Linked DNA regions of Coturnix japonica. The protein of the gene in region 1 binds, or shares a complex with, the protein of each later gene. Links are inferred from orthologs where the notes say so. Each region holds a gene or a part of one and is shown in the gene's direction. Other genes may lie near its edges.

What was found.
Region 2: ARID1A (region 1) and SMARCD1 share a complex: the UniProt entries of both Homo sapiens proteins name them as parts of the neuron-specific chromatin remodeling complex. The link is inferred for Coturnix japonica from reciprocal best matches to the Homo sapiens genes ARID1A and SMARCD1.
Region 3: ARID1A (region 1) and SMARCB1 share a complex: the UniProt entries of both Homo sapiens proteins name them as parts of the neuron-specific chromatin remodeling complex. The link is inferred for Coturnix japonica from reciprocal best matches to the Homo sapiens genes ARID1A and SMARCB1.

What each region holds. Positions count from the first base shown.
Region 1 is NC_029538.1:60,035-63,756, reverse strand, and holds part of ARID1A (AT-rich interactive domain-containing protein 1A), read left to right. Parts: intron 1-26; coding exon 27-116; intron 117-861; coding exon 862-1,029; intron 1,030-1,649; coding exon 1,650-1,965; intron 1,966-3,204; coding exon 3,205-3,350; intron 3,351-3,435; coding exon 3,436-3,545; intron 3,546-3,722. UniProt on the Homo sapiens protein: Involved in transcriptional activation and repression of select genes by chromatin remodeling (alteration of DNA-nucleosome topology).
Region 2 is NC_029544.1:347,972-351,793, reverse strand, and holds the start of SMARCD1 (SWI/SNF-related matrix-associated actin-dependent regulator of chromatin subfamily D member 1), read left to right. Parts: upstream 1-1,004; 5' UTR 1,005-1,040; coding exon 1,041-1,208; intron 1,209-1,328; coding exon 1,329-1,516; intron 1,517-2,686; coding exon 2,687-2,729; intron 2,730-2,826; coding exon 2,827-2,949; intron 2,950-3,218; coding exon 3,219-3,347; intron 3,348-3,822. UniProt on the Homo sapiens protein: Involved in transcriptional activation and repression of select genes by chromatin remodeling (alteration of DNA-nucleosome topology).
Region 3 is NC_029530.1:7,048,783-7,052,382, forward strand, and holds the start of SMARCB1 (SWI/SNF-related matrix-associated actin-dependent regulator of chromatin subfamily B member 1), read left to right. Parts: upstream 1-1,280; 5' UTR 1,281-1,387; coding exon 1,388-1,480; intron 1,481-2,686; coding exon 2,687-2,798; intron 2,799-3,295; coding exon 3,296-3,325; intron 3,326-3,600. Other genes in the region: MMP11 (stromelysin-3), read left to right, coding at 122-379, 595-728.

The sequences.
Region 1 (3,722 bases):
TAACCATTCTCCTTTTTGTGGTGCAGGCAATCAGATGCCGCCGCGACCACCCAGTGGCCAGTCAGACAGTATCATGCATCCTTCCATGAGCCAGTCAAGCATAGCTCAAGATCGAGGTATGTGATTTGGCTTAGAGAAGTTCTAATGGTACAAATCTGTTTGTAGAGCTAGATGCGTAGCTAAAAATTACCTGTCCTGATAATATGAATTCTGTGGTGAGACAGCATCTAAAGGCTGTGCCAGCATTATAACTGCAAGTGTTTTGGCTTCTGGCATCGTATTCAACTGTCACTGGCCCTTTGGTCTCTGAATGTTTGATGCAGGCTCGTTGTTTGGCTTTTCCAGATCTTTTCCACAAATGTTAGTTGCTTAAGTTCTGTGACTGTAAGATTCAAAGTAAGGGGTGGTCATAACAGTACTGGGTGGCATTTCCTCATATGAGAACAGGAGAAAATAAATGTATAATGTCAGTCCGAAAGTATGTAGATGTCACCCAGAGAAAATAAACAAGCAGACAAACTAAAAAACACTCTGAAAATAACAAAAAGTCCCCAAAATTTGCCAGTACCTGTAATGCTAAGTTTTTTTTTTTTTTCCTTGTTTAAAACAGGAAATTGGATATGTTCTTGGTAGCTAGGACTACCAGCAGCAACTGTAAAATGTCCCTTGGCTATTGCTGAAAGAGTTGTTATCTCAGTGGGTAATGCAGGCACCCTACTAGCAATGACTGTAAAATATGCCTCAGTTGGTGCTGGCACAGTTCTGTTAGGGGTTCCTGTGAACAGTTGTTGCTTAAGACACGTGTCCAGTGGCACCTCTGGGTACTTTGCTCACTGTCTGCTCCCTTCCCTGGGTGACCAGGTTACTTGCAGAGGAATCCTCAGATGCCCCAGTACAGCTCTCCCCAGCCCGGCTCAGCCTTATCTCCCCGTCAGTCTTCTGGAGGACAGATGCATGCCGGAATGGGGTCATACCAGCAGAACTCCATGGGAAGCTATGGACCCCAGGCTGGGCAGTACGGACCTCAAGGTGAGGCATGAGAAGCTTCTCAAGGGGGAACCAAGCACAGAGAATGGGAAAGGCCTCTGTTGGTGGCAACACCTTGTCTTTGGAGAATGTGTTTTGAGTGGTGTCCTCTTAATCCATGGGTGATTCAAAACAGTCCACTCCCTATGGGGTGGTTCAGCTTGTGCTTTGAGTACTGTACTGAGATTCATGAAAGATGTTATTTGAGTGCTAGCTGGACTTGCAAATGTAGGATCTCCCCTCTCTTAGAAGGATATAGGCAGCACCTCCAGTGTGCTAGAGAAAAGCCAGTTAACTTCAGAGGGGAAGGAAATTGTGTGCTATGTGTTTTGGAAAGGGTTAAGTGAATTTATTTACATCCTGTCTTGGACCGTTTAGCTCAGTGTGGTTGGCTGAGGTTTGGGGGAGCATCAGTCAGCTTTAGAATCAATGTTGTATCTTAGCTGTGTCAAAACACATGTTTCATGGCTTCTATCCAAGTGCTTTGACTTTTTGTAGAGGTGTTAAGACACCCCCTCATCTCCGTTAGTGATCTTTAAATATTTGCTGATAGAAGATTTGTATGGTGATTCATGAACTAAGTAGTTGAACAATGTTGTCTTCCCCCTGTTTTATCTCTTCAGGAGGTTATCCCAGGCAGCCAAACTACAATGCTCTGTCCAATGCCAACTATCCCAGTCCTGGGATGGGAGGAAGCATGAACCCAATGGCAGCAGGGAGCCAGATGCATGGGCAGACTGGTGTGCCTCCATACAGTGGGCTTCCTCCTGGGAGGATGAGCCACGCAGCCATGGGGAACAGACCTTATGGACCTAACATGGCAAATATGCCTCCTCAGGTGGGGACAGGAATGTGCCCCCCACCAGGGAGCATGAATCGCAAAGCACAAGAAGCAGCTGCTGCTGCCATGCATGCTGCTGCTAACTCCATCCAGAACAGGTGAGGCATGAAAATGCTGTTGGTCTGAACACATTCAATACATTCCCTGTGTTGTCTCTAGGTTTGAAAGCCATGCATGCAGTTACCCAAAGTTGGGGTGATAGAGAACACAAGTAACACATGCTTCCTTAGAGATTTACCTTTTTGAAGTCTTCTTCCTCTATCTTAGCTGCTTCTTTTCTTTTCTTTTTTCTTTTCTTTTTTTTTCAAAGCTTGAATAAGTAGTGTAATTTAATATGTTGTTAATGACCTGCTTAGGGAATTTTTAATGCTGATGGATGAAATCTGTTTAACTTGGTGTTTTCATAGGTTGTTTTGGCTTTCTGGTCTTCTCTGTGGTGTGGGTGATTTTAAAACTGCTGTGTGTGTGGTAAAGCCCATAAATCTAGCATGCAGCATCCATCTATCCAGATGCATTTGTCTGGACCAAGGCATTGCTTTTCCACTGTGTCAAACTTCCTTTTAGGTCTTTGATGGGCGACTATGGGAAATGAGCTGGAATTCAGCGCTGAACTTCACAGCTGTTTCCTGTGTTTTATTTTGCTTTAATTGCGCATTTCAGAGCAGTTGTTACGTGGCCTACCAGAATGCCACGAGAGCCACAAACTTGCTTATAAATTAGGTTCCCCCAGTGAAGCTGTTAGATTTACATGCATTTGTGGTCTGACGTGGCATTGTACTCTTTATCCTGTTTTATCTTACTCGTTATCCTGCTTTAAAGCTTATTTCTGCAATCTTCTGTCTGATACTGCTAAGAGGTCAATCAAGGCATCAAAGTGTATCCTTTCGATTAATGTGTCTGAGGGAAAGTTGTGTGTGGGGTTTTCTGACACATGTGCAGTCATGTACCTTCTGTGAATGTAAAAAAGTAAAGAGAGGAAAGCCATTAAATACGGGGAGTGCTGTGCTGTGCATCTGTAGAAATGCTTAAATGCTGCAGTATTTGTAGATGAGTTCTTTCCTGTGAAGGTGACTTAGGACCTGAAACCAAGTTCAGTTTGGGGATGAAGATAAGAGGTCAGACTGTTGGGTGCTGAAGTCTGTCTTTCCTAATGGGTTGCGTCTCCTTTGCTTTTGAGTTGTGCTTTTGAGTCTTAGGTTTTGCAGTGGGTAAGCTTTCAAAGAGCAACAGACCTTTTGTAGTAGAAGGTTTCTTCTAGTCAGTCTGTTTTGTTAGCAGGTGCAATGTGAATACTTTGTATTTGGAGTAAATGTCTGTTTCTTCCTTGCCTTTTCTAGGCCTCCTGGTTACCCCAGCATGAACCAAGGGGGAATGATGGGCACTGGACCTCCTTATGGACAGGGAATTAACAGCATGGCTGGCATGATCAACCCCCAGGGCCCACCTTATCCCATGGGTGGAAATATGGCTAATAACTCTGCAGGTAAGGCACTGCTGAGTGCTGGGCATTGGGTGACTTAATGGGTCTGGAATGAAAAGCATTGTCATAGATTCTTGTAACTTCCTAGGGATGGCAGCAAGTCCTGAAATGATGGGTCTTGCGGATGTGAAATTAACTCCTGCGACAAAAATGAACAATAAGGCTGATGGGACCCCAAAAGCAGAATCCAAGTCAAAGGTAAAACTTTTTTTAAGCGGTGTGTGTGTGTGTATGTGTATATATATACACACATAAATATATATATATTTAACGACACAGCATATTGTATCTACTCCCAAGAGAAACCCAATGTGAATTGCCATCTACCATGAGCAGACTGGCCATTACTGTGGCTGTTTATGCAGTATGTGATGT
Region 2 (3,822 bases), on another chromosome or scaffold:
GAAGTTGCTGCATCTGAACAATACGGAGCAGATAAGTTCCACCGCTTCTCCTCACCATGAATATTTCATCAGGCAGCCAGGCGCCAAGGCTGTGTTGGAGGTGGCATTACATTAACTGCACGGACACACGGATGCTGAGACAACAGCTAATGGCTGTGCTCACGGCATCGTGTTTTCTATCGAGGTCAAGAAACACTGAATTTGGTGGAAAAGATGCCAACAACTCCCCACTTTTCTCCTCAGTCAACAATGCCATGCACTGTACAGGACAGCTTCCTAAATGGCCTGTGATTATCATTAATTGCTTAATTAATACTTGCGGTGTGGCTGCTCTCTTGGATTTTATTCATGGATTAATGCAGGCTGGATGCAGGTCCCTCTGCTCTATGAGCAACCACACGGATGAGTGCCCTGGGGACAAGGAAAGTAATGCTAATACTTGCAAAAAGCGGCCTTTAATTCAGCGCTGTGCCTTCTACTGAGGGAGGGAGGAATCCTCCTCCAAGCATCCCCAGCCCTAAGCAAAGCAGCCCCAAACACGAGCACAGAGCACCTGTAAGAACAGGGGACCCCCACCCCAACTCAGTCACAGCATCGAGGCTTAATGAGCACCATCCTCCAGCACCTTGCACCCTCAAAACACTTTCCTATGGTCCATGCATGTCCCCAGGACGCAGCCCCTTCCCACACATCCCCCCCTGCAAATACCCCATCCCATCCATGGTCTCTGAAACCCCCAAACCCAACACCATCCCATAGCCCTCTCCAAGTCCTCTACCCCCACCCACAGCCCTCCCCACGCTCTACACCCCCCACCCCCACCCCAGAACCTTGCCATACTCCCCCAGGCCCCTATTCCCCCACAGTAGTGAACCTTAAACCCACCCACGACCCCCTCCCCACCCACTACTTCCCACCCCCCGCAGTTCCTCCCGCCGGCAGGGGGCGCTCTCTGCAGCCGTTGCCGCTCTAGGCCGCTGTCCGCGCTCTCTCTATGTCAGAGCTCCGGTTCCGGCCCGCTCCTCTTTGTGCTGGACAAGATGGCGGCGCGGGCGGGCTTCCAGTCAGTGACTCCCAGCGGTGGAGGCGGCGGGGCCGCTACCGGGACCGGAGCGCTGGGTCCGGGCACACCAGGCGGACCGGTGCGCATGGGCCCAGCCCCGGGACAGGGCTTGTACCGCTCACCTCTACCAGGGGCCGCCTACCCGGTGAGGCAGGGGAGGGGCCGCTGCGGGGCGGGGCGGGAGGGAGTGGGGGCGGCGGGGCCGAGGACGGGGCCGGCTTCCCCCCGGGTGGGCATTGGAACGGCTTTTTTCTTCCCCTTGCAGCGCCCTGGGATGTTACCGGGCAGCCGTTTGGCACCGCAAGGCCCCTCTATGGGGCCGCCCGGGTACGGTGGGAGCCCGGCAGTGAGGCCCGGTATGGCGCAGGCCGGCCTGGATCAGGCCCGTAAGAGACCAGCGCCGCAGCAACTGCAGCAGGTTCAGCCTCAGGCGGTGCCCAACCGCAACCACAAGTAAGAACCGGGGGTGCTGGGGGGCTCAGGGAATAGACGGTGCGGGGGGGGGGGGGGGGGATCAGGGCATCCTTGGCCATCCTTAGAGCTGTGAGTGGGGGGAGGAGCTCGGGTCATTCATAGGATAACTATGGGGTAGAAAGGCTCTGGGGACATCGTTGGGTGTCCTCTTGGCAACAGGGGGGTTCTCAGGGCAATGGGTGTCCAAAGGATGCTGCCAGGGCAGTGGGAGGCTTAGGATATCCTTGGGTATCCTTGAAATAGGAAGGGTTCCTGGAGCAGATGAGGGTCCCAGATCTTCCCTGTGCTCCTCCAGGGCAGGGGAGGGAACAGTGAAGGTCTCAAAATGTCCCTTGGGCATCCTCAGAGCAGCAGGGGTCCTGAGGACATCCCTGGGATGGCAGATGAGTCTTGGGCATATCCTTGGGCATTCCTATGGCAACAGGGTTCCTCAGGACACCCCGAGGGCAAAGAGGAGTCTCAGGGCATCCTTGGGTCCAAGGGGTCTTCGAGGTATCTCTGTGCATCACCAGAGCATTGAGGGTGCTCAGGGCATCCCCAGGTGGACGTGGACACATTGCTTCTCTCCTCATGAAGCCCCATGGGACGAGATCTGTGTATCAGGGTGAGGGCAGGCATCACTGAGCTGCAGGCTCTCTCTGAAGGGGTCAGCACTGACTTGGTGTCATCTGCTGGCTGCTCAGAGCAGCACAAAGCTTTTCTGTGTGCAGAGCCAGGCCTGGGCCTCTCATTGCTGCTTTTTTTTTGTTGGGTGGCTGAAAGAAACTTTGATGTTCTCGTGCAGCTTCGTCTCTGGTAGAGGGGAATTTCCAGCAGATAAAAAAGTAATGTGCAACTGCTGGACAAGAGCAAGTTAATGTTCAGTTTCTGATAGTACAATGTGATGCCTTGGTAACGTTGGTAATGCATCTCTGAGTCTCCTAGAAAAGTCTGTCTAAAGCACATTGAGCCATAAGGCTTCCTTTCCAATGATGCAGCCTTGCTTTCATTGCTTTCCTTGGGGATGTATTAAGGCGATCAGCTGCTGCAGGGCTGAGAGCATTGCTGATGCCCTGGTCCTAAAACACAAACCTCATCTCGCTCCTTTTGTGAACGTCCAGTGTTAATTAGCAGAATGGTTGCCATTTTAATGCTCTCCTTACTTTACAGTGCTAAAAAGAAGAAGATGGCAGACAAAATTCTACCTCAGAGGGTGAGTGGCATGTGCAGTTGACAGCCTCTGCTGATATGGAGATGTGGGGGAACTGACAGTGATTTGCATTCTTGATTGGCTCGTGTTCTGCTTGTAGATCCGTGAACTTGTGCCTGAGTCTCAAGCTTATATGGACCTGCTGGCCTTTGAAAGGAAATTGGACCAGACGATCATGAGGAAACGCTTGGATATCCAGGAGGCTTTGAAACGACCCATTAAGGTAGGAGAGGGACATTCAGAGACTTACTGTTATCAGAAGAGTAGGAGGGCTTTGAAGGTTGTGTCATAACCCTATAAGCATAGAGAGAACTGTAATGCCCAGGACTTAAGTGGGGGGGTAGAACCAAGACTGCCTCTCTCTGTGCTGTTTGTCCTGAGAGTGGATGTATGAGGAAAAGAAGAATATTTAGCTTAGTTTTAACAAAACATAAGCATGATTCTCATCCCTTTGCTTCTGAATGAATACTGAGCTGATGCTTTTTCTTGTAGCAAAAGCGAAAGCTACGTATTTTTATCTCCAATACCTTCAATCCAGCCAAGTCGGATGCAGAGGATGGTGAAGGAACAGTGGCCTCCTGGGAGCTTCGAGTAGAAGGAAGGCTGCTAGAAGATGTGAGTGTAAGGCACCCAACTGCAGAGCTGATTTGATGGGTCTGGAATTGGAAATTGAACCAGTTTCTTAGTGTCTGGGAGTGTAGCTAAGGGCTTGATATCCTCCTTCATCTCTGTTTTCCAAGGAGTCTGATGGTGACGAGACCGAGAGCCCAACTCGGAGACCGATGGGTATCCCCATGGCAGAACATGAGTTATACAAAGTTCTTATAGCTATAAGAATTAATGGTGAGAGCCGATCAGTAGCACTTGTGTACCCTGGCTCTTAGAACCAGGGCACTCGCATTTTATGTAATTGCTGAGTAAGTTAATTCCTCCAAGCTCATCTTTATCTCCAGTCTTTCACCATTTTTGACTTGGAACTTGATTTTCGAGCATGTGTTGATGAATGTAAGTGTTCACAACTTAAAGGAACACTGCTGTGCACCTTGCCTGTGCTTGAGTCCTGGAACTTGCTCTCCTGACTCTCTCTTCCTTCCTG
Region 3 (3,600 bases), on another chromosome or scaffold:
ATGAACAGCTTTCCCTGGGAGCTCTGCCCAGGCACCAGCTCCAGTCTGCAATTCCATGCCAAGTTATCTGACATCTAAGAACTTCTGAACATGTGTTTCCCCTTTTCCATCTCCTTACCAGATTCTCAGTACTGGATTTATGACGGCGAGAGACGAGTCTCTGGTCCCACACCAACTGTAGAGCTGGGCCTCCCTGCTTCTCCCGTGCAGGCAGCTCTGGTATGGGGGACAGAGAAGAACAAGATTTACATCTTCAGTGGAGGCAACTACTGGCGCTTCAACCCTCGCACACGCCAGGTGGACAACATCTACCCCCGGACCATGGCTGACTGGCGAGGCGTCCCACAGGAGATTGATGCTGCTTTTCAGGATGAGCTGGGTCAGTGCAGCAGGGACAGGCCCTGCTCTGGGGCACGTGCTCAGGGTGATGCTACTTCCCACCAGACCCAGCTGTTACCACTCCCAATAGTGACAAGCCCAGCAGCTCTGCCTGCAGTTCAGCCCAGGCAGCAGTGCTGAACTGCTTTCAGTAGTACCTAGTGCAGACAGCTGAGTGAAGGCTGGCTCACTTACTCCTCCCTCTCTCCTCCACAGGTTTTGCCTATTTCCTGAGAGGCCGAGACTACTGGAAGTTTGACCCGGTGCAGGTGAAGGTTCTGGAAGGTTACCCCCGTCAGATCAGCCAGGACTTCTTCAGCTGCACACCGTCCTCCAACTCCTTCCGATGAAGGAGCATCCCCTACTTTTCCCTTCCAGCCCTGACCTCCAGCAGACACTGAGGGCTCTGCTGCCATCCCTGGCTCCTTCCAGGCGCAGACTGACACAACAGACGTGTCACAACAAGTGACAAAGTTTGCTCCTCTCCCGTTCCAGCAGCAGCCCCAGCTTTGGTCCCTGTACAGAAGCATCTGCCACATTCCTTACAGACACGAGCAGCCTTAATGTGGCCGGGCTGTTGTAGCTCTATCATCCCAAAGCCATCAGGCCTTGGAACGGGACCCCCCCCATAACACCGACCCGCCGCCATCACCCCCCGCGCTGTGAGGCCGCAGCCCCTCAGCCTGCCCCATCCCAGTGCTGGACACTGCCCATCCGCACGGTGCTCCCGGGTACAGAACCAAACCCGTGGGCGTCAACTTTTGTACGACGCGTATCAACTCTTTTTATATCTATATCTATATATACTGTGTATATACGTATCGATGTACCAATAAAGCGCCTCTTTTCTACCCGCCGCCCGACTCACTTCAGCGCCGGGTGGGCGGGAACGAGCGGGCGGGGCGGTGCCCTGCGCATGCGCAGAGCAGCAGCGGAGTAGGCCGAGGCGCTGCCGTTGTCGCTGCGCCCCGGTTCCCTCAGCGCCGCCGGATCCCGCCGGGCCGCAGCGATGATGATGATGGCGCTGAGCAAAACCTTCGGGCAGAAGCCCGTTAAGTTCCAGCTGGAGGAGGACGGAGAATTCTATATGATCGGCTCCGAGGTACGGACAATGGCGGCGGCCCGGGGAGGGGGGGAGGCGGCGAGGCGAGGCTGTGGGGTGGGCAGCGCTGTGTGGGAGCAGAAGGGCTTTGGTGCTGTGATACTGTGGGGATTGTGCTGTTAAAAGGAGCCATAACTGCAGGTTATCTGGCTATATGTGCCACACAGGGTACGTGGAGGAGGAGGGATCGCCTTCCAGCCCCCCGCTATAAAGTTACAATTAAAAATGGTCTGAAAGATGTTAAGGTCAAAATAAGGCCTGTGTGACAGGGAATGTGAGCCCCTTTGTGAACTATACACACTCTACAAGTACAGCAGCAGTTAAAAAACCTGGTCGCAGAGCCTAGAATTCATTGTGTTGTCCAGCGAACCCTGCTGGAGCCTGCACTGCTGTGTTGCATTGTGCTGAGAAGAGCAGAGCTGCTGTGCTGCTGGTCAGCGGGTTTGGAGAGGCACAGATCGCATCCTGCGTGTTCCAAGGGCTTAAAGTAGAGCACAAGGCAGCGCTGTGTGTGTCTGAGCCATCCACTCTTGGAAAGCAGTCCTGACAATAGCAGGACATGGGGAAATGGTTTTAAGTTGAAAGAGGGAAGATTTAGGTTGGATGTTAGGGGGAAGTTCTTCACTAGGAGAGTGGTTAGGCCCTGGAACAGGCTGCCCAGGGAGGTTGTGGATGCCCCGTCCTTGGAGGTGTTCAAGGCCAGGCTGGACGGGGCCCTGGGCAACCTGATCTAGTAAAGGTGTATGTTTGGTGGCCCTGCCAGGCAGGGGGTTGGAACTACATGATCCTTGAGGTCCCTTCCAACCCCGGGTCATTCTGTGATTCTGTGATCCCAGCGGTGTCTGGTGAAAGGGATGCTGCTGGAGAGCTGGGTGTGCAGCTCCATTAAATCCTTCCTGGACACTGTGCTGATGTAGCAAAGTCCCAAAAATAAACAAAAACTGATTTCTGTCAATGAGCTGGAGTTTCTTAGCAAACTAGTGAAATAAGTGCTGATAAGAGCTATGTATTGTGCCAAAAATTGTGCTTTATGATGCCAAACCTGATACAGTGAATTGTGAAAAGCAACAAAAAAAATCCTCTTAGGAGGTTATTTATGAGGTCACTGTTATTGTTTCATTATTGAAAATTTGTTTCAGTTTTTGATAATTCGTTTCTTTAAATGGAATACGTTTCCAGGTCACATCTTTGCTTTTCTTCTTATAGGTGGGGAATTACCTGCGTATGTTCCGGGGCTCTCTGTACAAGAGGTATCCCTCGCTCTGGAGACGATTAGCCACAGTAGAAGAAAGGAAGAAGATAGTGGCATCTTCACATGGTAAGAAGATGAGGAAATGCTCCCAGTCTAAATGTCTGCCTTGAAGAACTGTCTCTGTAGGCTCAGAAGCTTGTGTACCTTTAGGGCTTTGTGACAGCGTTCTGCAAAATGTGGCTGTCCTGGAGTTGGCTGCATTTATCACAATGCAAAAGACACACCTCAAGTTAAATACCATATTCCAGAAGAGATTTCTAGTAGCAAAGAGGGGTGGTTCTGTCCCTTAACACATTGAAAGGATGCTCATGTTCTTTATATGTTTATGACTCCCAGAATTTGCAGTGTGTTTCTACTGATGTTACCACCACAGTGAGAATGCAGCCACCTTGGTATTATTTTTGATGGGAGACTAATATTAAGAACTTATATTCATTAGCAGTGCAACTTGTCATGTGTTCCTCAGGCTAAGGCATAATAAAGATACGTGGTTCATTCTATACTTAAGCCTCCTTCCTCTAATATCCTGCTGACCTGTTGCTGATTTCTTTCTTTCCCAACAGAAAATCAGCGGTCTCACAGTCCAAGAAGATGTAAGTCTGATTTGTGTGTTATGCTTAGCTGTGCTACAGGAATAATCTCTGCCATGACCTTTGGCGTTATTACAGCATATAATAACATCTCATCCTCTGATCTCTCCCTGTGGTCATCCCATTGTGCATCCTCATCACATGCTGAACTTTTCTTTCTCAGAACATTAATGGTCTGTGCAATTCAGTAAGATCTGTCCAGTGGTTCTTCCCTTTTTCCAGGTCTTAAGAGTTTGTACTCCCTGGCTTAGCTTTCATTAGTATCTGATGTGTCTGCT